6 linked regions of the Macaca fascicularis genome follow. The protein of the gene in region 1 binds, or shares a complex with, the protein of each later gene. Links are inferred from orthologs where the notes say so. Each region holds a gene or a part of one and is shown on either strand. Other genes may lie near its edges.

The links.
Region 2: EXOSC8 (region 1) and EXOSC4 share a complex: the UniProt entries of both Homo sapiens proteins name them as parts of the RNA exosome core complex. The link is inferred for Macaca fascicularis from reciprocal best matches to the Homo sapiens genes EXOSC8 and EXOSC4.
Region 3: EXOSC8 (region 1) and EXOSC3 share a complex: the UniProt entries of both Homo sapiens proteins name them as parts of the RNA exosome core complex. The link is inferred for Macaca fascicularis from reciprocal best matches to the Homo sapiens genes EXOSC8 and EXOSC3.
Region 4: EXOSC8 (region 1) and EXOSC6 share a complex: the UniProt entries of both Homo sapiens proteins name them as parts of the RNA exosome core complex. The link is inferred for Macaca fascicularis from reciprocal best matches to the Homo sapiens genes EXOSC8 and EXOSC6.
Region 5: EXOSC8 (region 1) and EXOSC2 share a complex: the UniProt entries of both Homo sapiens proteins name them as parts of the RNA exosome core complex. The link is inferred for Macaca fascicularis from reciprocal best matches to the Homo sapiens genes EXOSC8 and EXOSC2.
Region 6: EXOSC8 (region 1) and EXOSC5 share a complex: the UniProt entries of both Homo sapiens proteins name them as parts of the RNA exosome core complex. The link is inferred for Macaca fascicularis from reciprocal best matches to the Homo sapiens genes EXOSC8 and EXOSC5.

Annotation. Positions count from the first base shown.
Region 1 is NC_088391.1:16,553,999-16,557,136, forward strand, and holds the end of EXOSC8 (exosome complex component RRP43), read left to right. Parts: coding exon 1-94; intron 95-1,256; coding exon 1,257-1,377; intron 1,378-1,969; coding exon 1,970-2,076; intron 2,077-2,424; coding exon 2,425-2,540; 3' UTR 2,541-2,638; downstream 2,639-3,138. Other genes in the region: SUPT20H (transcription factor SPT20 homolog), read right to left, coding at 2,904-3,041. UniProt on the Homo sapiens protein: Non-catalytic component of the RNA exosome complex which has 3'->5' exoribonuclease activity and participates in a multitude of cellular RNA processing and degradation events.
Region 2 is NC_088382.1:153,749,584-153,753,247, forward strand, and holds EXOSC4 (exosome complex component RRP41), read left to right. Parts: upstream 1-1,148; 5' UTR 1,149-1,256; coding exon 1,257-1,427; exon of another isoform or gene 1,428-1,744; intron 1,745-2,458; coding exon 2,459-2,665; intron 2,666-2,756; coding exon 2,757-3,116; 3' UTR 3,117-3,164; downstream 3,165-3,664. UniProt on the Homo sapiens protein: Non-catalytic component of the RNA exosome complex which has 3'->5' exoribonuclease activity and participates in a multitude of cellular RNA processing and degradation events.
Region 3 is NC_088389.1:61,537,498-61,541,555, forward strand, and holds the start of EXOSC3 (exosome complex component RRP40), read left to right. Parts: upstream 1-1,258; 5' UTR 1,259-1,294; coding exon 1,295-1,618; intron 1,619-2,301; coding exon 2,302-2,451; intron 2,452-4,029; exon of another isoform or gene 4,030-4,058. UniProt on the Homo sapiens protein: Non-catalytic component of the RNA exosome complex which has 3'->5' exoribonuclease activity and participates in a multitude of cellular RNA processing and degradation events.
Region 4 is NC_088394.1:70,113,694-70,117,945, forward strand, and holds EXOSC6 (exosome complex component MTR3), read left to right. Parts: upstream 1-1,452; 5' UTR 1,453-1,492; coding exon 1,493-2,311; 3' UTR 2,312-3,762; downstream 3,763-4,252. Other genes in the region: AARS1 (alanine--tRNA ligase, cytoplasmic), read left to right, coding at 20-133, 476-661. UniProt on the Homo sapiens protein: Non-catalytic component of the RNA exosome complex which has 3'->5' exoribonuclease activity and participates in a multitude of cellular RNA processing and degradation events.
Region 5 is NC_088389.1:13,185,575-13,189,832, reverse strand, and holds the start of EXOSC2 (exosome complex component RRP4), read left to right. Parts: upstream 1-1,458; 5' UTR 1,459-1,479; coding exon 1,480-1,601; intron 1,602-3,766; coding exon 3,767-3,868; exon of another isoform or gene 3,869-3,881; intron 3,882-4,258. UniProt on the Homo sapiens protein: Non-catalytic component of the RNA exosome complex which has 3'->5' exoribonuclease activity and participates in a multitude of cellular RNA processing and degradation events.
Region 6 is NC_088393.1:48,537,984-48,541,953, reverse strand, and holds the start of EXOSC5 (exosome complex component RRP46), read left to right. Parts: upstream 1-1,170; 5' UTR 1,171-1,235; coding exon 1,236-1,383; intron 1,384-3,970. Other genes in the region: BCKDHA (2-oxoisovalerate dehydrogenase subunit alpha, mitochondrial), read right to left, coding at 631-738. UniProt on the Homo sapiens protein: Non-catalytic component of the RNA exosome complex which has 3'->5' exoribonuclease activity and participates in a multitude of cellular RNA processing and degradation events.

The sequences.
Region 1 (3,138 bases):
GCCTGGGTTCTATACTGTGATCTCATTTGCCTCGACTATGATGGAAACATTTTGGATGCCTGCACATTTGCTTTGTTAGCGGCTTTAAAAAATGGTAAGCAGCCTTACAAAAACGACAATATTCCCACTAATGGGTTAGAATGTTCTGTTTTGTGAAACTTTTAATGTACATTTGCTTTCGTATGCTTCCAAATTAATGAATGTAATACTGCCATTACTTTCCAAATATAGTTGATAGTTGTATATTCTCTAACTGAATGCTCTTTAGAGTGCTGCTTTGACTGTACCCGTCTACTTAGGTTAGGACTTCAGTCCTTTCCATAATAGTGTTAATAATGGTGGGAGAGGGAGACAAGACTTGTAACTTCTGGCTAGGTCATTGGTGAAGATCTGCCAGTATCCTCATAGTTCTTTATGTGATATTGCCAAAAGAATTAGAATGGATTCTGTTCTTTTTACTGTGAGGCCATAGTAATAGTGAAGTTTCTTAGCAAGGAGTCTAGGTTGACTGATTAGTTACAGATTTCAATAACTTGTGCATATTCCCTATCATTGGTGAATGATGAATTGGTAGGAACAAATAATTGGAGGTGGAAAATAAAGTTAGCACAGCAATATTATAATAGAGTGGTTAAGTGAATTGGAGGTAGAAAATGAAGTTAGCACAATATTGTAACAGAGTGGTTAAAGCAGAGACTTAGGTTTGATTCCTGGCTCTGTCACTCTGTGCTGAAGTTTCCTTATCTATAATAAAATAGGGATAATAGTATTTAGTTTCTAAGAGTATTGATTAGGTGAATACAGTGAAAATGTGGAAATGCGTAAAACAGTACCTGGCATATACAAATTAGCTAGACATGTTATCTATTAGTAATCATTTTCATTTCAAAACTGGGTACAGTGGCACATGCCTATAGTCCCACCCAGCTACTGGGGAGGTTGAGGTGGGAAGATTGCTAGGAATTTAGTTCTAGCCTGGGCAACAAAACAAGACCCGATCTCTAAAAATTTAAAAAAAAATCATTTTGACTTCTTAAACTTAAAAAAATTATGCAATAAGCACTAGGTAGGCATGTCAGATGTTGTGAAGAGCAATGTATATCCTCTGTATTTACCTTAGTGGCTGTAAGGTGCTTTTTAAAAAGAAATGTTCTGGGCAAGTTCAATCGAGGGAAAGGTGAATTAAAAAAAAAAAAAAAAAGCTTAGAAACCATTTGTTTCTTAGAGACTTACTTTACAAATTTGCCTTTTCTTAGTACAGTTGCCTGAAGTTACTATAAATGAAGAAACTGCTTTAGCAGAAGTTAATTTAAAGAAGAAAAGTTATTTGAATATTAGAACTCATCCAGTTGCAACTTCCTTTGCTGTGTTTGATGAGTAAGTTAATCAAACTTACTTTAAAATTTTCTATATTTAAGATTTGGGTAATTGATGTTCAGCATTCTAACTCTTCAGGAAGTGCTATGAGTCTGACTCTACATCCTAGTTTTCCCTGGACACTTGAGTTTATACTTGTCCCTGCACAATTATTTATAGTCAACCTGTCTGCTTTCATAAGCATCCTGATTTGGATGATAATTGTGTTCACTTTACCTGTTCCTTGGTTTACTTATACCTGTGTAATGTTAATTTCTAATTCTTTCACTAAAGATTTACCTGAAGCTATCTTCAGTATTTTCCAAGGATTTTAGCACATTCAGAAATAGTAGAGCAGGGCGAGGCATGGTGGGTCATGCCTGTAATGCCAGCACTTTGGGAGGCTGAGGCAGGGTATCACCTGAGGTCAGGAGTTCGAGACCAGCCTGGCCAAGTCGGTGAAACCCTGTCTCTACTAAAAATACAAAAATTAGCTAGGTGTGATGGTGTGTACCTGTAATTCCAGCTACTTGGGAGGCTGACAGTATGTTTAGTATTTTTAAAGTAAAATTTGTTCCATGGATTGATAACTTATACTTTTTTCTTTTTATAGCACTTTGCTTATAGTTGACCCTACTGGAGAGGAGGAACATCTGGCAACAGGAACCTTAACAATAGTAATGGATGAGGAAGGCAAGCTCTGTTGTCTTCACAAACCAGGCATGTTCCTGCCACTTCAGTCCTAAACATATGTAGATGAAAACTCAGTGTGAGCCTTAAATTAGGGAGGGCCAAATGGAATATGGGATATTTCATTTACCTAATTTAAGTTTACTGTAGTTTCTTAGCTACCTCAAATTTTCTTCCATCTTAATGGTATACGTCAGTGATTCTTAAACTTAAGACATACATTAGAATCACTTGGAGGTCTTGTGAAACTAACTTGCAGATCTTGAGACTGTACCCTGATTTATGTTATCCAATTTTTTTATTTCATAATTTGATATGACATTAATGTTTTTTGAAAAGCAGTGATAGATTTAAAGTATTGGCAAAATAATTTTTCAGGTGGAAGCGGGCTAACTGGAGCTAAACTTCAGGACTGCATGAGCCGAGCAGTTACAAGACACAAAGAAGTTAAAAAATTGATGGATGAAGTAATTAAGAGTATGAAACCCAAATAAATAGCCACTTTTCAAAACAGATTTGTAAAAATTGTATTTGTTAACACTGTGCACAAACATTTTATACTAAATAAATATCAAACTACATTCTTCTGAAAGATGTTTCTATTATTTCTTAGGTCACTTCCATATAATGTATAGTGAAACCATTTTTAAAAAGCAATGACTTAGGCAAACCAACCCTAGTTTGTTAAACCATTTCCCTGTTTTTATTTAAAAATGATAAGGTTGTGCTTCTGTATAAAGTTTGTACATCTAGCAATGTAAAAGACTGACACATTAAAAAAACAAAAAGTAGAAACTCAATCCTTTTGATTCAATGCTCTTGTGTTTTTAAAAAAGGAACAAAAAATAATGCAAGACTCAGAATTTTGGACTGGTTGGCGTGCCTCTCTTCATTTTACTTTTTGACTGGCTGCCTGTATGCCGATGACGATGTAGCTGAGCTGTTTGTGCTGCTGCTGCTGCCATAGCCATTTGATGCTGCAAGAATCGCAACTGCTGCAAAAGGGAGGGAAAAAAATCGAGTTATGTTAAATGCAGGCAGGTGTGGAAAGGTGCTTTTCCTGAGAGTGACGAAACAACACAACTGAAAAAG
Region 2 (3,664 bases), on another chromosome or scaffold:
GCTCACTCATTCTCATGCCTCTCAGTCTTTCAGGAGAGCATAACCACCTCTAAGGGGATGCTGAACTTGGGCCCCTGCAGCAGACTGCATTTCCCCAGCCCACCTGCTGTTCCTACAGTCTAATATTGACACTCCTCTCACTGAAGGGTGGGGTCCCTGTCCCCATCCCTTAAGCCTGGGTAGATGTGTCTGACTGCCTTGACCCACAGAGTCTGGCAGGAGGGACACTATGTGACTTCTGAGGCTAGGTTCTAAAAATATCATGCACATGTTGTCCATCTCATTGTCCTGGAAGGCTACCCTTGGAACCCAGCTGCCATATTGCAAGGAAGCATGGAGAAGCCACAGGTAGGTGTGCTGCCTGACAGCCACAGATGAGGTCCTGGCCAGCCACCAGCATCAGCCACCAAAGATGTGAAAGAGAAAGCTTTAGGATGGCTCCAGCCCCAGCCACCATCTGGCAGCAACTGTAGGAGAGAGCCTACGTGCAAACTACCTAGCTGAGCCTAGATAACCCAAGACTGCAGGACATAATAATAGAATGATTGCTATTTGAAGCCGCTGAGGTTAAGTGGCAAGAGATAAACAGACACACAACCCCTCTCTGGAAAGGATGAGGAAATCTGCAACCTCAAAAGGAAAAGGGAGGCCCACTCGACTGCAGTGTGGAAGCCCGGTGTAAAGGGAGGGCATGAGAGGACTGGAGAGGTGCCAGGTGTGGACCATCCTGGGACACCAGCCTGGTCACTTTTCTAGCACCGCTCTATGCCTTCTCCTGTCAGTGTCGCAACCCACTGGGTTCATCCTTCCACTTCCACACTTGGGGCGCGGGGAAGGGCTGAATGTAGGCACCACTGGTCCCGAGGGCGTGACGGGAATTTCTCCTTCGGCGGGCGCCCACCTCCTGGCACCCGGGACACAGCTCCGGGAACGGCTGCGGGCTCAACCGCTGCTTCCCCGACAGCGCCACCGCAGTTCCCCGGAGACAGAAGTGAAGCCGAACCGCCAGAAACCGTAGATCCAGGGAGGTCGGTGCCGCGAGGAACTCCAGTTCTCCGGGACCGGAAGTGACAGCGGACCGCCGGAAACCGTAGATCCAGGGAGGTCGGGACCGCGGGGAGCTGTAGCTCCCCGGAACCGGAAGTGATAGCGGACCGCCGGAAACCGTAGATTTGGGGAGGTCGGAGCCGCAGGGCGCTGTAGTTCTCCCGCGAATCAGAGAACTAGGCAGAGAGCGGAGCTGGCGGCCGGGCAGCATGGCGGGGCTGGAGCTCTTGTCGGACCAGGGCTACCGGGTGGACGGTCGGCGCGCCGGGGAGCTGCGCAAGATCCAGGCTCGGATGGGCGTGTTCGCGCAGGCTGACGGCTCGGCCTACATCGAGCAGGGCAACACCAAGGCGCTGGCGGTGGTCTACGGCCCGCACGAGGCGAGTGGGCGTGCGGGATGGGAATCGCGTGACCGCGGGATCTGCGGGGCAGCCGGGCTGAGCACAGGTTCGGGGACTTGAGAGGTGCGGCCGGCGCGCCTCAGTCTACACAGCCGATGCTCAGCACTGCATCTCACTCGGAGTAAACGCAAGTCTTTAGTGTGCTGCGCGGTGGTCCTGCCTTTCTCATCGGTCTCTGTGCCTGCGCTCTCCCTCCTCTTTGCGGCTCTTCAACGTGCCAGGCACTCCCCCACTCGCTCCCTCTCCTCTCAGCTCTACTCCGACGTCACTCCTTCTCAGACGGCTTTATCCATGCGGTACTTCTCTCCCTACAATAAACCCTTGTCTTTTGTGCATCTACAATCTCAAATGCCTATTTTGCTTAAGCATTTTCCCGTTTCCTCGCTAGAACATAAGCTTCCTAAGGACAGAAACTACATAAAACTCTCTGGTTTCATTGCTGTGTTTCCAGCGCTGTAACTGTGCCTGGCCAGTGAAGGTATTGAAAGAGTGTTTGTTTAGCGCATGAGGGTAGGAGCTCTGCTTTCCAGGCGGAGGGAACCAGGAGGGCGAAGACCACGGTGGTGAAAACAAGCAAGGCACTCATGCATAACAGAAAGACTGCTGGTGGGGAAAGAGGGGATAACTCTAAATAAGGTTGAGAGTTCCCGGGGAGGTGAGGAATTAGGGTTTTGTAGACCAGGGAAATGATTTGGGATTTTATTTCATATGTAATGTGAAACCTTTGTAAGGTAATTAGGATTTGAGTGTGAAGGTGAGACAGAATCAGCCTTGATGTTTGTAAACTTGGGTTGGCAGGGAATGGGGCAAGGATGGGCACAAGGAAGCCAATTAAAAGATGCCAGAGGGCAACACATGCAAGACAGTGCAAAACAGGGGGCTTTGTTTTGGAGGTAATGTAGTTGCCCCTTGCTGAGGCATTGAAAGTGGAGGGAGAGGCAGACCCACAGAGGACAGTGGCGTGTGAGCTGGAAGGAGTGGGCCTGGCTCATGTGTCCGTCCTCTTCCAGATCCGGGGTTCCCGGGCTCGAGCCCTGCCGGACAGGGCCCTAGTGAACTGTCAATATAGTTCAGCGACCTTCAGCACAGGTGAGCGCAAGCGACGGCCACATGGGGACCGGAAGTCCTGTGAGATGGGCCTGCAGCTCCGCCAGACTTTCGAGGCAGCCATCCTTACACAGCTGCACCCACGTTCCCAGATTGATATCTATGTGCAGGTGAGCCGGCTGCAGTGTCAATCCAGGGAGGGGTGGGTGTGATGGGGTTGGGGAGAGAGTCTGATAGACTCACACCCTGGGGTCCCTGCAGGTGCTACAGGCAGATGGTGGGACCTATGCAGCTTGTGTGAATGCGGCCACACTGGCAGTGCTGGATGCTGGGATACCCATGAGAGACTTTGTGTGTGCGTGCTCAGCTGGCTTTGTGGACGGCACAGCCCTGGCGGACCTCAGCCATGTGGAGGAAGCAGCTGGTGGCCCCCAGCTGGCCCTGGCCCTGCTGCCAGCCTCAGGACAGATTGCGCTGCTTGAGATGGATGCCCGGCTGCACGAGGACCACCTGGAGCGGGTGTTGGAGGCTGCTGCCCAGGCTGCTCGAGATGTGCACACCCTCTTGGACAGAGTGGTCAGGCAGCATGTGCGTGAGGCCTCTATCTTGCTGGGGGACTGACCACCCAGCCACCCATGTCCAGAATAAAACCCTCCTCTGCCCACACAACCCTCACTGTACGTTAATCACCCAATAGCACTTCAGAGCCATGTGAAGCCTGGCAGAGCCTGGTCTGGTGCTGGCTCCTGGGGATGACCAGGGCCCCTCGCCCACACATGAACTGCCTATCTCTGTGTAGCCTAATTCAAACCCTGAAAAGAACAGTGGATTAGGGGGTTGCTGTGGGGGAGGTCCTGGGTGGAAAAAGCAACATGTCCCAGTAAGGACTCAAGGCAGCTGAGCAGGAGGCAGGGCCTGGCAAGATGAGCAGGTCATTGGACTGAGGAATCTGTTACCCTTACTCTGGCACATCCGGGGCCCTGAGCAAAGGGCTGAGGGAGAACTCAGCTGGCTCTGAGTACCCAACCTAGAGATGTGGGGGCCATGTCCCATGGCCTCTGGACTATGGCCTGGAGCCCCTTGGGCTTTTCCTGCTGCTTACCTTGGGCTCTAAAAAATGCAACAGCCAGGCATGGTGGCTCACACCTGTAATCCCAGAACTTTGAGAG
Region 3 (4,058 bases), on another chromosome or scaffold:
GGCAGTTAAAGGCCATCAGTCAGTCATGGCCTCCCAGACCCTGGGAACTCTACCACTGCTGGAGAATCTGATCAAGCACTAATTGAAGGTTCCAGTTGACAGAGAAAACAGTGATTTCAAATAAGAACCTCAAAAGTCAGATGATTGGAAGCTCTGTGGATTTGGAATTCAACTGCTTCTCACCTGGGCAACTAAGTGTGCTCCAGGGAAATTTGAGTTACTTATATTCCAGGCCATGCAGGACTATCGCAAGCATGTGAAATATGTATATTTGCAGGAGGAAAAAGTCTAGGGAGAAATACACACCAAAGGAATACATTCGTTCATTCATCAGGCATTACCTATTTCATGCCACACCTTGGGCTCTAAAGAATCAGAACTACCACGTAGCAAGGGAGAAAAACGGGTAAGAATAAAACATCATTTATTTCCTTATTTTATTTTTGTCTGTGTTTTCTAAATGTGACTAGATCTCTAACAACCAAGAAGGTTTTATTTATTTTGAAAAAATATACTTTCCCTGTTAAAAGGTGAGCCACTCTTCTGAGGGCAGAGTCGGAAAGAAGGGTCCAGAAGCCCACCTAGCGTCCGATTTCCTTCTTTTTTTTTTTTTTTTTTGTTTGTTTGTTTGTTTAACAGAGTCTCGCTCTGTCGTCCATACTGGAGTGCAGTGGCGCCATCTCGGCTCACTGCAACCTCCGCCTCCTAGGTTCAAGTGATCTCCTGCCTCAGCCTCCCGAGTAGCTGGGATTACAGGTGCATGCCATCACGCCCGACTAATTTTTGTATTTTTAGTAGAGACAGGGTTTCACCATGGTGGCCAGGCTGGTCTTGAACTCCTGACCTCAAATGATCCACCCGCCTTGGCCTCCCAAACTGCTGGGATTACAGGCGTGAGCCACTGCACCCGGCCCCAGCGTCCAGTTTTCAAAGCCCCTCTGCTCAGCTTCCAGAGATCCCGGGAAACTCTAAGTGGGAGCATCTCGTATCCCCACGATGCGACCGGTCACAAAACACGGGACCCGAGACACTGAAAGTGGAGGCTTCTTGATGGATCAAGCTGCGCAGTTCTCATACCGACCCGCGGCCAGGCTGTAAGACAGGTGGTCGGCTACAGACACAATCACAGCCACCTTGGACAAGGACCCGTGAGCTGACAGCCATTAAGCTTCATAAACTGGTCCAAATCTAACGGACCGCTACCGCCGGAAACGGAAAGTCCTCAAGGGCGGGTGTTGGAAGCAGAGCGGAAGCGGAAGGAGAGTACCGGAAACGGTGTTTGGTGGCGCACGCGATGGCCGAACCTGTGTCTGTTGCGGCTGAATATCTCGCGGGCAGCAGGGCGCGCGCTGCACGCACAGTACTAGGTCAGGTGGTGCTGCCGGGTGAGGAGCTGCTCCTGCCGGAACAGGAGGACGCGGAAGGCCCTGGCGGTGCTGGGGAGCGACCGTTGAGCCTGAATGCTGGAGCGCGCTCGCGGGTGCGCGTTGTATGCGGCCCGGGCTTGCGGCGCTGTGGGGACCGCCTGCTGGTCACCAAGTGCGGCCGCCTCCGTCACAAGGAGCCCGGCAGTGGCAGCGGCGGCGGTGTTTACTGGGTGGACTCTCAGCAGAAGCGGGTGAGCTGGGACTGCGGAGGGGTGGTGCGGCCGTGAGAGTGATAGCCCTGGTTTGAGAAGACCTCCCAAAAGAAGAAGGGATGAGATCCTGAGGCCCTCTTGTTCAGGCAAACCTAGAGCCACCGTAGTCTTGTGCCCACTTCTGCATGTCCTTTAGAGGGACCGTGAACAATAGGAACATAGCCTGAGAAGGGCGACCAGGAGAGAAAAACGTTTGGAGACCGTGAGTCATGATTATAAAGTCTTCAAAACTCCAAACGTCAGGGAGCAGCAGGCTTGCCCATTCAAGTCTCAGAGGGCAAGACCAGGCTCAATGAGTGGATGTCATAGGGAGTTAATTTCTCCTAGAACAGGTAAGAACTTTCATACAGAAAAAAATTGTCTAACTATGGAATGGGCTTCCTTGGTTGTAAGGATTCCTTTGCCACTGAACTTATGCCACAAAGCTAGGAACTTACTGGTTGGGGTGCTGAAGAGATAATGGGGTTTGGACTCAATTAACAGACTACCAGAAGCTGCACACCTGACACTTTATGATGTGATTTTCTTTTACCGAAAGTGGCATATGATCAGATTTCTTTCTCTTTAATGACAATAAAGTAACCACGAAGGACGTGCTGAAGGTATCTTCCAATGGTATCTTCTCATTTATGGATGTTTTCTCATTCTATTTCCTTTTGTAGTATGTTCCAGTGAAAGGAGACCATGTGATTGGCATAGTGACAGCTAAATCTGGAGATATATTCAAAGTTGATGTTGGAGGGAGTGAGCCAGCTTCTTTGTCTTACTTGTCATTTGAAGGTGCAACTAAAAGAAACAGACCAAATGTGCAGGTAATTATGGGAGCCTTTGGCTTCAAAGTAAGAAACATCCCTTCCCTAGAACACTCAGATATCCAGAAGGCTACCTGAATTGTCTCCGAAGTATGACCTAGATCTTTGAGCATGTATATAATTGCCCCAGGCTCCAAGAGTTTCTTCAGATGCTGCAGGATCAGAGCCACATAATTTTTTTTTTTTTTTTAACATTTACAATTTATTTTACATTGGCTACATTTGTTCTTGGGATGTTTCATTTCTACTGAGTTGAAAGGTTGTATCTGTCATCACCATTATTTGTTATGTCCATATCCTCGGGACAAGGATGTCTGCTGTAGGCTTAGAGGAGTGACAGGTGGTGCAAATTGACATTATCAGCTATCCATCCATCCTGGCTGTAGGTCCTAGAGCTGATAGAGGAGTAATACTGTTACCTTGGGTTTTCAGGTTGGGCTTTTCAGGTAGCATAGCCACACGCTTCTTGTCTATCCAGCCCGAAATCTAGTGATGTCTTTGCCTCTTCACATTTACTTCTCATGCAAATTTATTTGCTTAATCTTATTTGATTCTGTCTCTGATTTTTGGCATGTCTATCCCTTTATCTCCACTTTGCAAGTTCAGGCTTTAGCTCCGTCTTGACTGGTCTCAGTCACTTCTTCATTAATCCTTGCCTCCACGCTTTTACCTCACCATCCAGGGTTTTGAGAGCTGACATCCTAACACAGTTACTTTCTCGAAAAGGAAAAACGAGATTCTCCAAAATCCACAGAATTCCTTGGCATTACACTCCAGGTGTCTTTCCTCATCCCTAATTATATCCTTCATACAGCCATACTCTAATCACACCAAACGCCATTAGACTCAATTTCCTGCCCTTATTCCTTTACACATGCTGTTCCCTCTGTCTTGATTGCACTATCCCTTCGCAGCCTGTGGAACACATTCTCATCCTTTGAGACCTAGGCTAAACACGACCGCCTTTGTAAAGCCATCCCCAGTTGTGACTTTTCTCATATTTTTGCTCTAGCACTTACTGGATTTAGCCTCGACTGAGGTTTGTTTATATGTACCTCCCCACTGCCCTCCAAGACCAAATGCTTCTGAAAAGCAGAGAATGTTTTGTTCCTCTCTAGTTTACATAGTCACCAACAAACAGTGGGTACTTAATATGTTTTGAGTGAACAGAATTGAGTTCACTCTCCATTTCCTCAGTTTCATCCCTTTAAGGTTTAGCTCTATGAGGTTTTTAAGTAAATCTTGCAGGGAGAAGTGTCAGTGAATTATTGTTTTGTTTTGCTTTGAATAATTTGCATGCCGGAGTTCCTCTCTGTAAATTGTAATTCTCTAGGGTAGTGCCACCTAACATAACTTTCTACAGTGATGCTGTTTTGTATCTGCACTGATTAGTATGGTAGCAGTTGAGCACTTGAAATGTGGCTAATGCAACTCAGGAAATTAATTTTAAATATCTAATTTTAATTAATTTAAATAGCTGTTGAGCACTTGAAATGTGGCTAATGCAACTCAGGAAATTAATTTTAAATATCTAATTTTAATTAATTTAAATATAAGTTTAAACAATTGGCTACCTACCATATTGGACAGTGCAATCCTAGAGGTGT
Region 4 (4,252 bases), on another chromosome or scaffold:
AGCCATGTTCTCCCCACAGGCCCTGAATGAAGCCTTGAAGCTCTTCAAGACACACTCCCCTCAGACGTCTGCCATGCTCTTCACGGTGGACAACGAGGCTGGCAAGATCACTTGCCTGTGTCAAGTCCCTCAGGTCAGAACCACCTTGCACCAGTGGGAAGTGTTGGGTCTTAAGCTTGTTTGCTGAGGCCTGTGTGTGTACAACCTGCATTTAAAAGAGCCTGTCTCCTGCCTGCCTGTTGGTCACCTTTGCCAGTACCCCTTACCTAGGCCTCCTCATTGGTTGCATCTGTCTGGTTGATACTTGGCTTTGCCACTCTGTCCTGTCCTGGCAGGGGCCATGACTGCCCCCTGCACTAGCCGTAAAGTCTGTCTCGGCCTCCAGCAGTATCACCCAGGGCAAAGGAGTGGGTGATGGCTCCTCCCTCAATCCCATTTTCTGTCCTGACTTCCCCCTTCCCTTTCTTTCTTCTAGAATGCAGCCAATCGGGGCTTAAAAGCCAGCGAGTGGGTACAGCAGGTGTCAGGCCTGATGGACGGTAAAGGTGGGGGCAAGGATGTGTCTGCACAGGCCACAGGCAAAAACATTGGCTGCCTGCAGGAGGCGCTGCAGCTGGCCACTTCCTTCGCCCAGCTGCGCCTCGGGGATGTAAAGAACTGAGCGGGGGAGGAGGTGGCTTCTACTGGCTCCATCTGTCCAGCCGGGAGCTCTTCATCTGCTACAAGAACATTTGAATCCTGGGACCTTTTGAGAGCCCCTCCTACCCCGGCCGTACCTGGAACACCCTCACGAGCAGTCCTGTGACTCAGCGCCCCTTATACTTCTGCCCTGAGCCCTCCACATCAGTGCCATCTGTCGAGAACCACTACCCCCGCATTGCTGTTGATCACCACACTCGCATCTGTAGATAACAGCTCTCCAGCCTGAGCTTTCCGTGTCAGCAAGGACGAATCGTTTTTTGCTGCAGAGAATAAAAGGACCACGTGCAATACTTAATGCTATATGATCTCTATCCCTCTTCCCAGGTGGAGCTCGCTGTTTTGACAGCCCTTGGCCCCTGCTGTCTGTAGAATAAATGCTGTGGCTTCTACTGGCTGCTGTAGTGTTCACCTAGTCCAGCCCCAGAACCCTAAATTTTGGGAAAAGCCCCTGGGGTTGCCTCAAACGTTTGTGGAGGTTGAGGCCAAATAGGTAGGGTGACATGGAGCAAGGCGTTCATAATTCAGTAGATGGGGTTAGTGGAAGCAGAGAAGCCTTGGAGCTGCTCTCCCGCTGCCTTCCAGCAGGAGGGATGGATCAGGCAGCCCTGCACAAGTGGGACCAGGGCGCCAGGGACGCCGGCCGTTCTCCCTCCGAGCCTCCAGCAGGCGCTGTAGCGTCGCCCGTCACTCTCCCGACAGCCCTCACGCAGGCGCGCGTCTTTAAGCAACGGAAGAACCAGTGGGTGCGGCAGTGCGTTGGGCGGAAGCGGCTCTCAAGCCAGGAGCCGCCATGCCCGGGGACCACCGCCGCATCCGCGGCCCTGAAGAGTCGCAGCCGCCGCAGCTGTACGCGGCCGACGAGGAGGAGGCGCCCGCCGCCCGCGACCCAACGCGACTGCGGCCCGTGTACGCGCGCGCCGGGCTGCTGAGCCAGGCCAAAGGCTCGGCCTACCTGGAGGCGGGAGGCACAAAGGTGCTGTGTGCAGTGTCGGGCCCGCGACAGGCCGAGGGAGGCGAGCGCGGCGGCGGCCCGGCCGGATCTGGCGGCGAAGCCCCGGCCGCGCTGCGCGGTCGCCTGCTGTGCGACTTCCGCCGCGCGCCCTTCGCGGGCCGCCGGCGCCGCGCTCCCCCGGGCGGCGGCGAGGAGCGTGAGCTGGCGCTGGCGCTGCAGGAGGCACTGGAGCCGGCCGTGCGCCTGGGCCGCTACCCGCGCGCGCAGCTCGAGGTGTCGGCGTTGCTGCTGGAGGACGGCGGCTCGGCCCTGGCCGCCGCGCTCACCGCCGCCGCGCTCGCCCTGGCCGACGCGGGCGTTGAGATGTACGATCTGGTGGTGGGCTGTGGCCTGAGCCTCGCGCCGGGGCCCGCGCCCACTTGGCTGCTGGACCCCACGCGACTAGAGGAAGAGCGCGCCGCCGCGGGCCTCACCGTGGCGCTCATGCCTGTGCTGAATCAGGTGGCCGGGCTGCTGGGCAGCGGCGAGGGCGGCCTGATCGAGAGCTGGGCGGAGGCCGTACGCCTGGGGCTCGAGGGCTGCCAGCGCCTCTACCCCGTGCTGCAGCAGAGCCTGGTGCGGGCGGCGCGCCGCAGGGGCGCCGCCGCCCAGCCCTGAACTAGAAGCCTGAGCAACGACGGACGCAAGCCGAGGACCGTGCTGCCGCCGTCCCTGAAAAGACCCGCGCCGTCGGCCTCCAGCCTGCGTCGAGGTAAGCAGCCGGAGCCCTGGAGAGCACCTGGGTAGGCTCTAGCAGAGCCAAGGCGCCGGACAGCTGTGGTGTTGGAAAGGGTTTTTACAAACCTCGTTAAAGGAACTTTACTTGAGCCGGCTCTTAGCTTCGACCCAGTTGAGGAAACCTGTGAGCGCATCCTGACTCCCAAGTTGGAAACTTTAGCTGGACTTACCTGGAAGCTGGTACCTAGAGCTGCTGTCATTCAGGCCAGCCAGTGACCCCCTCCGATATAACTGGGCGACTTTTCAGAGGATGGACAAGACGACTGTGCCTTCTGTGTCTGAGCCAAAAGAAAGACCCTTTTATATTTGAAAAACGTCTTATGGTGTGGTTCTTCTTGGTCCGGGATTTAAGAGAGCAAGGCTCTTTTGTTCTTGCATCCCAGGTGTCAAGGGTCGCGGCGGCATTGCCTTAAACGGGTTCTGTTCCTTAGGCCCACGTGAACAGGAGACGGGCTGAAAAGAGCTGCAGAGCCTGAGGGGAGCGCTGTGATTTGGAGAAGCAGCTGCCCCCACATGAACCAGAGTTAGGGGAACTGCTGAGATACGACGAGAGTAGGGAGAGTTGGCCGGGCCGGCGGCTCACACCTGTAATCCCAGCACTTTGGGAGGCCAAGGCAGGGAGATCACCTGAGGTCGGAAGTTCGAGATCAGCCTGACCAACATGGAGAAACCCCGTCTCTACTAAAAATACAAAATTAGCCAGCACTAATAATGGTGGCATATGCCTGTAATCTTAGCTACTCGGGAGGCTGAGGCAGGAGAATCGCTTGAACCCGGGAGGTGGAGGTTGCGGTGAGTGGAGATCGCACCATTGCACTCCAGCCTGGGCAACAAGAGCAAGACTCCGTCTGAGGAAAAAAAGTACGGCCCCAGAAGTGCGCTGAGTGCACCTCGTGCCCCAACCTGGCTTGGTGCTGGGTAGCTGAAAAGGGTTTTGCTCTGCGTAGAAGCCATCTGTCCTTGGCCATGTGCAGAATGGCACAACCCGAGCCTCCACTGCTGGTGAGAAGTGGCACCCTGGTCCTACAAGGAAGACCCTGAGCAGCACCGCAGAGGGCAGGTGCACTGCTAGGAAGGCCAGGTACAACCTGACTGACTCACCACGAGGTGGGGTCTTTCCTGTGTCGCTACCAGCTCTGCTGGTTTGGGCTCAAGACTGCATGGTAGGAAGCTAGGTGACTGCCATTTGGAAGGCGGCCTGGTCCCCTCTCTGCACTCAGCTTCTCTAGGAAGGGCCGACCTGGGTCAGCCCAAGGACCAGAATGAGTTTCTGGGGCCACACCCAGAACCCCTGACCAGGAAAAATACAAATTTTATTTTTTCCCTTCTGACATAACGTGTCTTTCTAGAGCAGGTCTGAAATAGTATCACACCAGTGGGGAGAGGACATAATGTAATTCTGAAGGGTGACTTCCTAGAGTAGATGGGGAGTCTGGAGCCCAAAGAGGGCTGTGTGGGGTACACACTGAGAACATTCCAGCAGTTTCAGGGAGATTGGAAACTCAGGGAGATCTGCTGGCTATCTGTTGACTGGCGGTGTATCGGGAGGGGAGTGAAGATCAGCTGTGTCTGCATTCAGACAAGGCTGAGGGTGCCCTCTGAGGGGAGGGGAGGGGAGGGGAGGGGTGGGGTGGGGTGGGGGGTGGGGGTGGGGGTGGGGGTGGGGTGGGGATGGGCTGTCATCTGCCCCTTGCAAGAGAGCCTCAGCTTCATGAGGATGGCGACCTGGTGCAGTCCCAGGCCACCTCCTAACCGTGTCAGTCCCAGGACCATCATCTCGAAATGCAACCTCTAAAGAAGCTAAACCCACCACTACAGGTT
Region 5 (4,258 bases), on another chromosome or scaffold:
TAATGTGAATTCCATTCCTTTTGGGGCCTCGATTTCCTCCTCCATAAACTGGTATCCACAATGCCAACCTTGCGACAGGCTCCGTGAATGTGAACGCTGTGAGAGTGCGCGTCTCTCCCTCCCGGGAAGAACTTGGATGGTGTCAGGACTACACTCTCGCTCCGCCTAGGGCCGCTCGCTGGGCCTGGCTTCCTGGCCGCCGGGCTACGCGGGCTCAAAGGACACCATCGCCCTCTTATGGCCCCGGCAGTACTGGACCAAGGGGCTGGGCTCTAGCGCCTTCCTCCAAGCACGGCGGAGGGCGAGGGTCTGGCCGCCCACTTACCTAGGGCCTTGGGGCACTAGCATTCACGTCACGGACTGCCTGGCAGGGCTGACTTTCTTAAGTGTGGTCGTGCGCCTTGCTTAAGTGGAAGAAATGCTGTCGCTTTGGAGATTTATAAAACAATTGGTTCGATGGATCTTTCTTCAGGAGGCAGACTTGGTTTACCTGCTTTTCTGACCACAGTTGATGTAAATGATTTCATTTAATCCTCTTTAGAGTCCCTGTGCATGGGGAATTACCATTCCCAATTAGTTTGTTGTGAATGTAGGGCAAGGAGAGGGAGACGGTAGTGGGGAACGGGAGAAGGGGCGAGGGGTACGCTCCTATTAAAACGGAGCCGCAGCAAAACCCACAGAGACATGTCTGTTCCCTGCTGAATCCTTAGAACAGCGCCTGGCACACACAGAGCACTCAACTCGCTGTGTAACTAAATGCAAGCCATCTTCGTATTATGTGTGCACTTCCCTTCCCTACCAAATATACCTGGCTTGCAAGGTTTGACCTATACTGTTAGACGATTTTTAACTTGTTTCCAAAAGAAATATTGGAGTAAATTAGCTTGCTTAAAGAAGTCTTTATGAAAGAACAGAACCAAGTGAGAAGTATCTGGAGCCCGGTTTGGAGGTATAGATGATGATGCTGAGCCAGCACCCACGGGGCGGCAGCAATGTAGAATACTGGGGCTACTAGGAACCGTGTGGACGGGGGCTCTTCTCTCTGTTCAAATAGTGTTTTCTGTAGATCCCATCTCTCCATCCTCCTGAGCTCTCTCTTAGAAAATACCGGATTTCAGCAGCTTAGAATCGGACAGAAACTCAGAGGTCCGTTTCTCAATTATCGCTAACTCTTGTAAACAATAAATGGGATGGTGAGTACAAGACAGTTTTGGTAAAAAGTCACACCCCACACAACGTGAGATTGTATTATTCCACGGGTGCTCCCTTGCCAATAGTAAACATGGCAGCTCGGCTCCCTTCCCTTCGGGTTCGCCTTAGTGTTGCCAATTGTAAACATGGCCTCCAGACCGTGAGTTCTCATTGGCAGCTGCTCTGAGTCCCCGCCCTTCCCCGCCCCTCCGAACGCGGCCAGGAGTTGCGGAGTCGGATATCGCGGCTCCCGGCTGAGCTGCGCCTGCGCAACTCATTGGCGCCAAGATGGCGATGGAGATGAGGCTTCCAGCGGCTCGCAAGCCTCTTAGCGAGAGACTGGGTCGCGACACTAAGAAACATCTAGTGGTGCCGGGGGACACAATCACTACGGACACGGGATTCATGCGGTACGTGGGGACTTGGGGGAGTCGAGGCTTCATAGAGCGGCTTCAGGGCTCTCTGCACGTGGTCCAGGCCTCGTATCCCGGTGTGTCTAACTCCCCGCGGGACCCCAGGCACTTGGTCTGAGCATCCTACTCGCCTCGCTTCCGAGCCTCGCGCTTCTTGCCCCCTGCGTCTTGTGTGTCCCCTTCTGCGTTTGTCTCAGCTCCCTGAAACCCTCCACTCCTGACCTCTGGTGGCTGTGACTTTTGGGTCTTCTGCCTGAAGTCCAAATCTTGGAGCCTTCCTTGTAGGAGACCTGGAAAACCGGGGAGGTTTAGGCGCAGGCTCTCTTTCCAGTTTTCAGCTCTCTGAGGGGACGGTGGGTGTTCTTGGCCGCCTCCTCTTCAGTTTAGAATCCGTAATTGTTCGAGCTTAGGGCAAACAGTTACATTGTGCTGCCTGCACCCATTTATACACATTTTGAATCCAAGGGGTGCAGTACAGTGTGTTGTAGTTAAGAGGGCAGGCTCTTTTTTTTTTTTTTTTTTTTTGAGACAGAGTTTCACTCTTTTTGCCCAGGCTGGAGTGCAATGGCGCGATCTCAGCTCACTGCAACCTCCGCCTCCCAGGTTCAAGCGATTCTCCTGCCTCAGCCTCTCGAGTAGCTGGGATTACAGGCATGTGCCACCATGCCTGGCTAATTTTTGTATTTTTAGTAGAGACGGGGTTTCTCCATGTTGGTCAGGCTGGTCTTGAACTCCCGACCTCAGGTGATCCACCCTCCTCAGCCTCCCAAAGTGCTGGGATTACAGGCGTGAGCCACCGCGCCCGGCCGAGGGCAGGCTCTTGAGTCAGACAGTTGGGGTTCCAGTCCAGCTACCATCACATCTTATTAGCGGCATTGCCTCTCCACGGTCAGTTTCCTCATCTGTAAGATAGTGATAATAACAGTATGATACGGTAATGAGGATTAAATGAGATAATTATGTAAGAAAAGAAGTAAAACCAGCCATTATATCATCATCATAGATAACACTAGCGTTTCAACCTTTTTTTTCTGTACATGTATCTATACAAGGGGCACAGCATTCATAGCATTGCCCTTTAACCTGTTAGTTTAAGGCTAGTGGATCCTAGGAAATATTTTTTTTTCATTTTTGAGACGGAGTCTCTCTGTCGCCTAGGCTGGAGAGCAGTGGTGGGATCTCGGCTCACTGCAACCTCTGCCTCCTGGGTTCAAGCAATTCTCCTGTCTCAGCCTCCTGAGTAGCTGGGATTACAGGCACCTGCCACCATGCCCAGCCAATTTTTGTATTTTTAGTAGAGATGAGGTTTCACGATGTTGGCCAGGCTGATCTCGAACCCTTGACCTCAAGTGTGATCTGCCCACCTTGGCCTCCCAAAGTGCTGGGAGTACAGGCATGCCCAGCCCCTAGGAAATTTTTTTTTTTTTTTTTTTTAATGAGACAGAGTCTCACTCTGTCGCCCAGGCTGGAGTGCCGTGGCACAGTCTCAGCTCACTGCAACCTCCGCCTCTGGGATTCAAGCAATTCTCCTGCCTCACCCTCCTAAGTAGCTGGGATTCCAAGCGCACGCCACTATGCCCGGCTAATTTTTGTATTTTTAGTAGAGACGGGGTTTCACCATGTTGGTCAGGCTGGTCTCAAACACTTGACCTCGTGATCCACCCACCTCGGCCTCCCAGAGTGCTGGGATTATAGGCGTGAACCACCGCACCTGGCCAGGAAATCTTAAGATTCATTCTTTCGTTAATGCTTTCAACATATATTTATATTTTGTGCAGTTGGGATATAACGGCAGAGTGAAAAATCTCTGTCCTGGTGGAGTTATAACGGAGAATGTTAGGCAATAATGCAATGGGGAAAAACGTGGAGCAGGGTCAATGGAATGTGGGGGAGTGGTGGCAACGGGGTGGGCTGTGTTTTCAATGGCACAGTCAAGGTAGGCCTGCTGGAGAAAGTGACACCTGAGCAGACCTGAGTGAGAGGGGTGATTTCCAAGTAGCCAGTCTGGAGAAGGAGCACTGAAGGCAGAGGAAGCAGCCAGCACAGAAGCCAGGCTTTGCAGGGGGAGCTTGTTAGCTTTGAGGAACACATTGTTCTTGAAAGGAGAGAGGTCACCTCGAGTTACCCTGGTATCCTTTCTTTGTACCTTTGCCTTGCATCAGGGGCCACGGAACGTATATGGGAGAAGAGAAGCTCATTGCATCTGTTGCTGGCTCTGTGGAGAGAGTAAACAAGTTGATCTGTGTGAAAGCTTTGAAAACCAGGTGAGAACAAAAGGTGTGTATTCCCTTTCTTGCGGCATCCAGGTTGTACAACCAGGCTTTTTCTGCCCCCTCCATATCCCCTACCCCACCCCTGCCTGCCCTGTCATGCTGTAAGTCTGAGGTTTTGACCATGACTGTAGGTGGGGTGGTGCAGATCAGTGTAGGCTTCAGAGGTTTTCCCATGTTATGTCACCACTCCAAGCCTTGGTTACCTCCTCTGCAAAGTGAGTATAATAGCATGGCCTACTTCACAGGATTTTCTTTTTTTTTTTTGAGACGGAGTCTCGCTCTGTTGCCCAGGCTGGAGTACAGTGGCACAGTCTGCACGCTGCAACCTCTGCCTCCCGGGTTCAAACGATTCTCCTGCCTCAGCCTCCCAAGTAGCTGGGA
Region 6 (3,970 bases), on another chromosome or scaffold:
CTTCCCCTGTCCCTCCAAGGAACCTCCCCTGAATACGAGTGGCAGTTAATAAGGAACCCCCGGCCGGGCGCGCTGGCTCACGCCTGTAATTCCAGCACTTTGGGAGGCCGAGGTGGGCGGATCACGAGGTCAGGAGATCGAGACCATCCTGGCTAACACAGTGAAACCCCGTCTCTACTAAAAATGCAAAAAAAAAAAAAAAAATTAGCCGGGGGTGGCGGCGGGCGCCTGTAGTCCCAGCTACTCGGGAGGCTGAGGCAGGAGAACGGCGTGAATCCGGGAGGCAGAGCTTGCAGTGAGCTGAGATCCGGCCACTGCACTCCAGACTCCGCCTCAAAAACTAACTAAATAAATAAATAAGGAACTCCCATCCCTCTCTTCAAGTCGTCTCCCTCCCTCAGGGCCCACAAAGAAGTTGCAAACGGGTTTTGTCCTCTCCTGAAGAAGTGGAAGTTCTTTTCTTCTAAGGAAGTGGCAGATCTTCCCTTCGGTGTCTTCTCCAAGGGGTCTCCCACTTTTTCCCTTCTGTGACAGCCCTTCCTTCATATCCTTCAGGGACCCCACACTCTGAAGATAGCCTTTACATCCCTAATCCCCTTTGGGAAAACCCCCTGGGGCCCAGGTACTCACAGATCTAGCCAATCCCCGAGCCCCAGGCCGCCACAGCAGCAAGAGGGCAGCCTGGCTCAGGCCTCGGTTTGGCCGCCAGACCCTCGCTGCAGCGATCGCTACCGCCATCTTGGCTAGCAACCACTCAGCGGTAGGGCACTCACGTAGGCTAGATTCGGGGCTGCCCCTTTATGTGCCTGACACAAACTCCAGCACCATCTGACAAGAAAATCACCTTCTTCCCATTCTGTTGTAGATAGAATGCACAGAGATTTGGAGAAGAAAACCTATCTACCCAAAATTTTCCCCAGTCGCCTCATTGTAGTTACTCCTGTAACAGGCAAAGAAGAGGGCAACCTGACCACGGCCTCAGGGATTTAGGGCCCGGGGGCCCAGAGTAAAACAGGTCACTGCCAAGGCCTGCCTCCTGTTCTCAACTGTCCAATGGCGTTGCCAGAGTTAGGAGGTGGGACTGGGCGGAGCCAGATTGTTGGTAAACGCTAAGCCACGTGCGGACGCCAGGACTGACGGCCGAGCCCAGCGCGTGCGCAATGGTTACGCAGAGTGTTCGCAGCGCGCGCTGCCGGGCGGAAGTGATAATCGCAGCCGCACGTGGGGTCGGCGCGATGGAGGAGGAGATGCATACTGACGCCAAAATCCGCGCTGAAATTGGAACAGGGTGCAGCCCTCGGGGTCCCGGCTGCAGCCTCCGGCACTTTGCCTGCGAACAGAACCTGCTGTCGCGGCCAGATGGCTCTGCTTCCTTCCTGCAAGGTAAGAACTTACCCAGGTCTTTTGGAGAGGGACTACCATGTACCGTGCAACGGAGTGCCCATCTCCCCATGATACCAGCTGGTAAATGTCACTCCTGCGTTGATACATGATTTCTTGTCCGATTGAATACTACTACATACGCAGGGATACATACATCTCTCCCTCACGACTAGAAAGGAGAAGATAGCTCCATCTTTGTAAATATGTCTGAGAATGACAGGCGGGGCAGACCGTCCCCGCAAGAATTGATATTTCAGAATAGGGAAAATCACCTCACCAGGGTAAATATCGCCCTTAACTAGGTTCCTCCTCCTCACCCCCGCCCCCGCCCGCCCCACACACACGCCCGCTAGGTCCTTGCATCCCGGACTGACGCAAACCTGTCAATTTGCATACTCTGGACTGTGGCGGATCTTTCACCCACGTAAATACTCCTCAAATTGAAGATAATGTCACTGCCCTGGGTTGAAAAATACATCCCCACCGCTACCTCACTGCATCTCTCCACAGGAGTAAATATCCCTAAGATTAGGGCAAGTCTTACCTATAGGGCAAATATCCCCTTCCCCTAGCTAAATAACTCTCAGAACCAGATTAACTCCAAGAATATTTCTCTTTAACGTTTGAGACAGGAGGCTGGGCACAGTGGCTCACGCCTGTAATCCCCACACTTTGGGAGGCCAAGGCGGGTGGATCACCTGAGGTCAGGAGTTCGAGACCAGCCTGGCCAACATGGCGAAACCCCGACTCTACTAAAAGTACAAAAATTAGCCAGGCATGGTGGTGGGCGCCTGTAATCCCAGCTACTGGGGAGGCTGAGGCAGGAGAATCTCTTGAACCCAGGAGGCAGAAGTTGCAGTGAGCCAAGATTGTGCCATTGTACTCCAGTGTGCACGACAAAACAAGATTCTGTCTCAAAAAAAAAAAAAAAAATTTTGAGACAGGGTCTCACGATGTTGCCCAGGTTGGTCTTGAACTCCTGGACTCAAGCAGTCCTCCTCCCAAAGTGCTCATATAGGTACCAGCCACCACGCCCAGCCCCAATACATTTTAACAAAATCTGGCTGCTGTGTTGATTGTGGGGAGTATGGGGGAAAACAGGGAGGTGATGGTGGCTCCAGCCAGAACAGGAGTAGTGGAGGTGATGAGATTCTGGATGTAGTTTGAAAGTAAAACGGACAAAACTTACCTATAGTTTGGTTTGAGTGCGAGGAAAAAGAGTCAGGCATAACTAAGGTTTCTGCCCAGATCTGTACAAGTCTGGAAATCAGGAGAGAGACCCAAGCTGGACATAGGCAATTTGGAACTCTCTGGCTGTATATATGGTATTTCAGCCTATTGACTGAACGAAGTCAGTGTAGATGGAAAAGAGGTCCCAGGACCAAGCCCTAGGCCTTCCAACTTGAGCAGTCAGGGACTTGTGACAAGCAAGCTAAAGGAGACTCAGAAGGAACGCCCAGAGACTTAGGGGGAAACCGGGAGAGGGTGGTGACCTGGGGCCAAGAGAAGAGCGTGTCTGAGATGTGAGGGCTGACAGCTGTTTCGGCCTTACTGACAGCCGGGTCAATGGAGGGTTGATCATTTGGAGGTCAGTGGTGACGATGTTGAGCTGCCGCAGTGGAGTGGTGGGGTCACAGGAAAGGAAGAATAGACAGCTGTTCAGGAGTTTTGCTGTAAGAGGATCAGATAAGTGGGGCAGGAATTGAAGATGGTTGTGGGGTCAACAGGGGAGAGAATTGCTGGAGCCACGTCTTGAAGAAGGTGAGAGGGGAGGGACTCTTGTGCTCAGGTGAAACACAGGCAGTTCATCTGGAGCCAGAGGCGAGTTCTATTTTGGTTTCTCCAGTCCTCAGGGCAGTTTTTCCTGGAACTAAGCACACCTTCCGTGTAAGGGCAAATTGGGCATCCCAGGAAATACCGCCTTAACCAGGGACCTTCCCGGACCCTCCCTCAGGCTTAGCACTTATGCTGAATTGAGATACCTCAAGTTTCTTCGAACCTAAGAATTAAGAAGGGGCCGGGCGCAGTTGCTCACATGGGTTGCTCACACCGGTAATCCAAGCACCTTGGGAGGCCGATGAGGGTAGATCACCTGAGGTCAGTAATTCTTTTTTTTTTTTTGACACAGAGTCTCGCCCTGTCACCCAGGCTAGAGTGCAGTGAAGCGATCGTGGCTCACTGCAACCTCCACCTCCCAGGTTCCAGCGATTCTTCTGCCTCAGCCTCCCGAGTAGCCAGGACCACAGGCGTGTGCTCCCACGCCCAGCTAATTTTTGTAGTTTTTAGTAGAGACGGGGTTTCACCATGTTGGCCAGACTGATCTTGAACTCCTGACCTCGTGATCCACCCGCCTCGGCCTCCCAAATTGCTGGGATTACAGGCGTGAGCCACCTCGCCCAGTCGAGGTCAGGAGTTCTGAGACCAGCCTAGCCAACATGGTGAAAACCCGTCTCTACTAAAAATACAAAAATTAGTCGGACGAGGTGGCACGCACCTATAATCTCAGCTACTCTGGAGGCTGAGGCACGAGAATCACTTGAGCCTGGGAGGCGGAGGTTGCAGTGAGCTGAGATTGCACAACTGCACT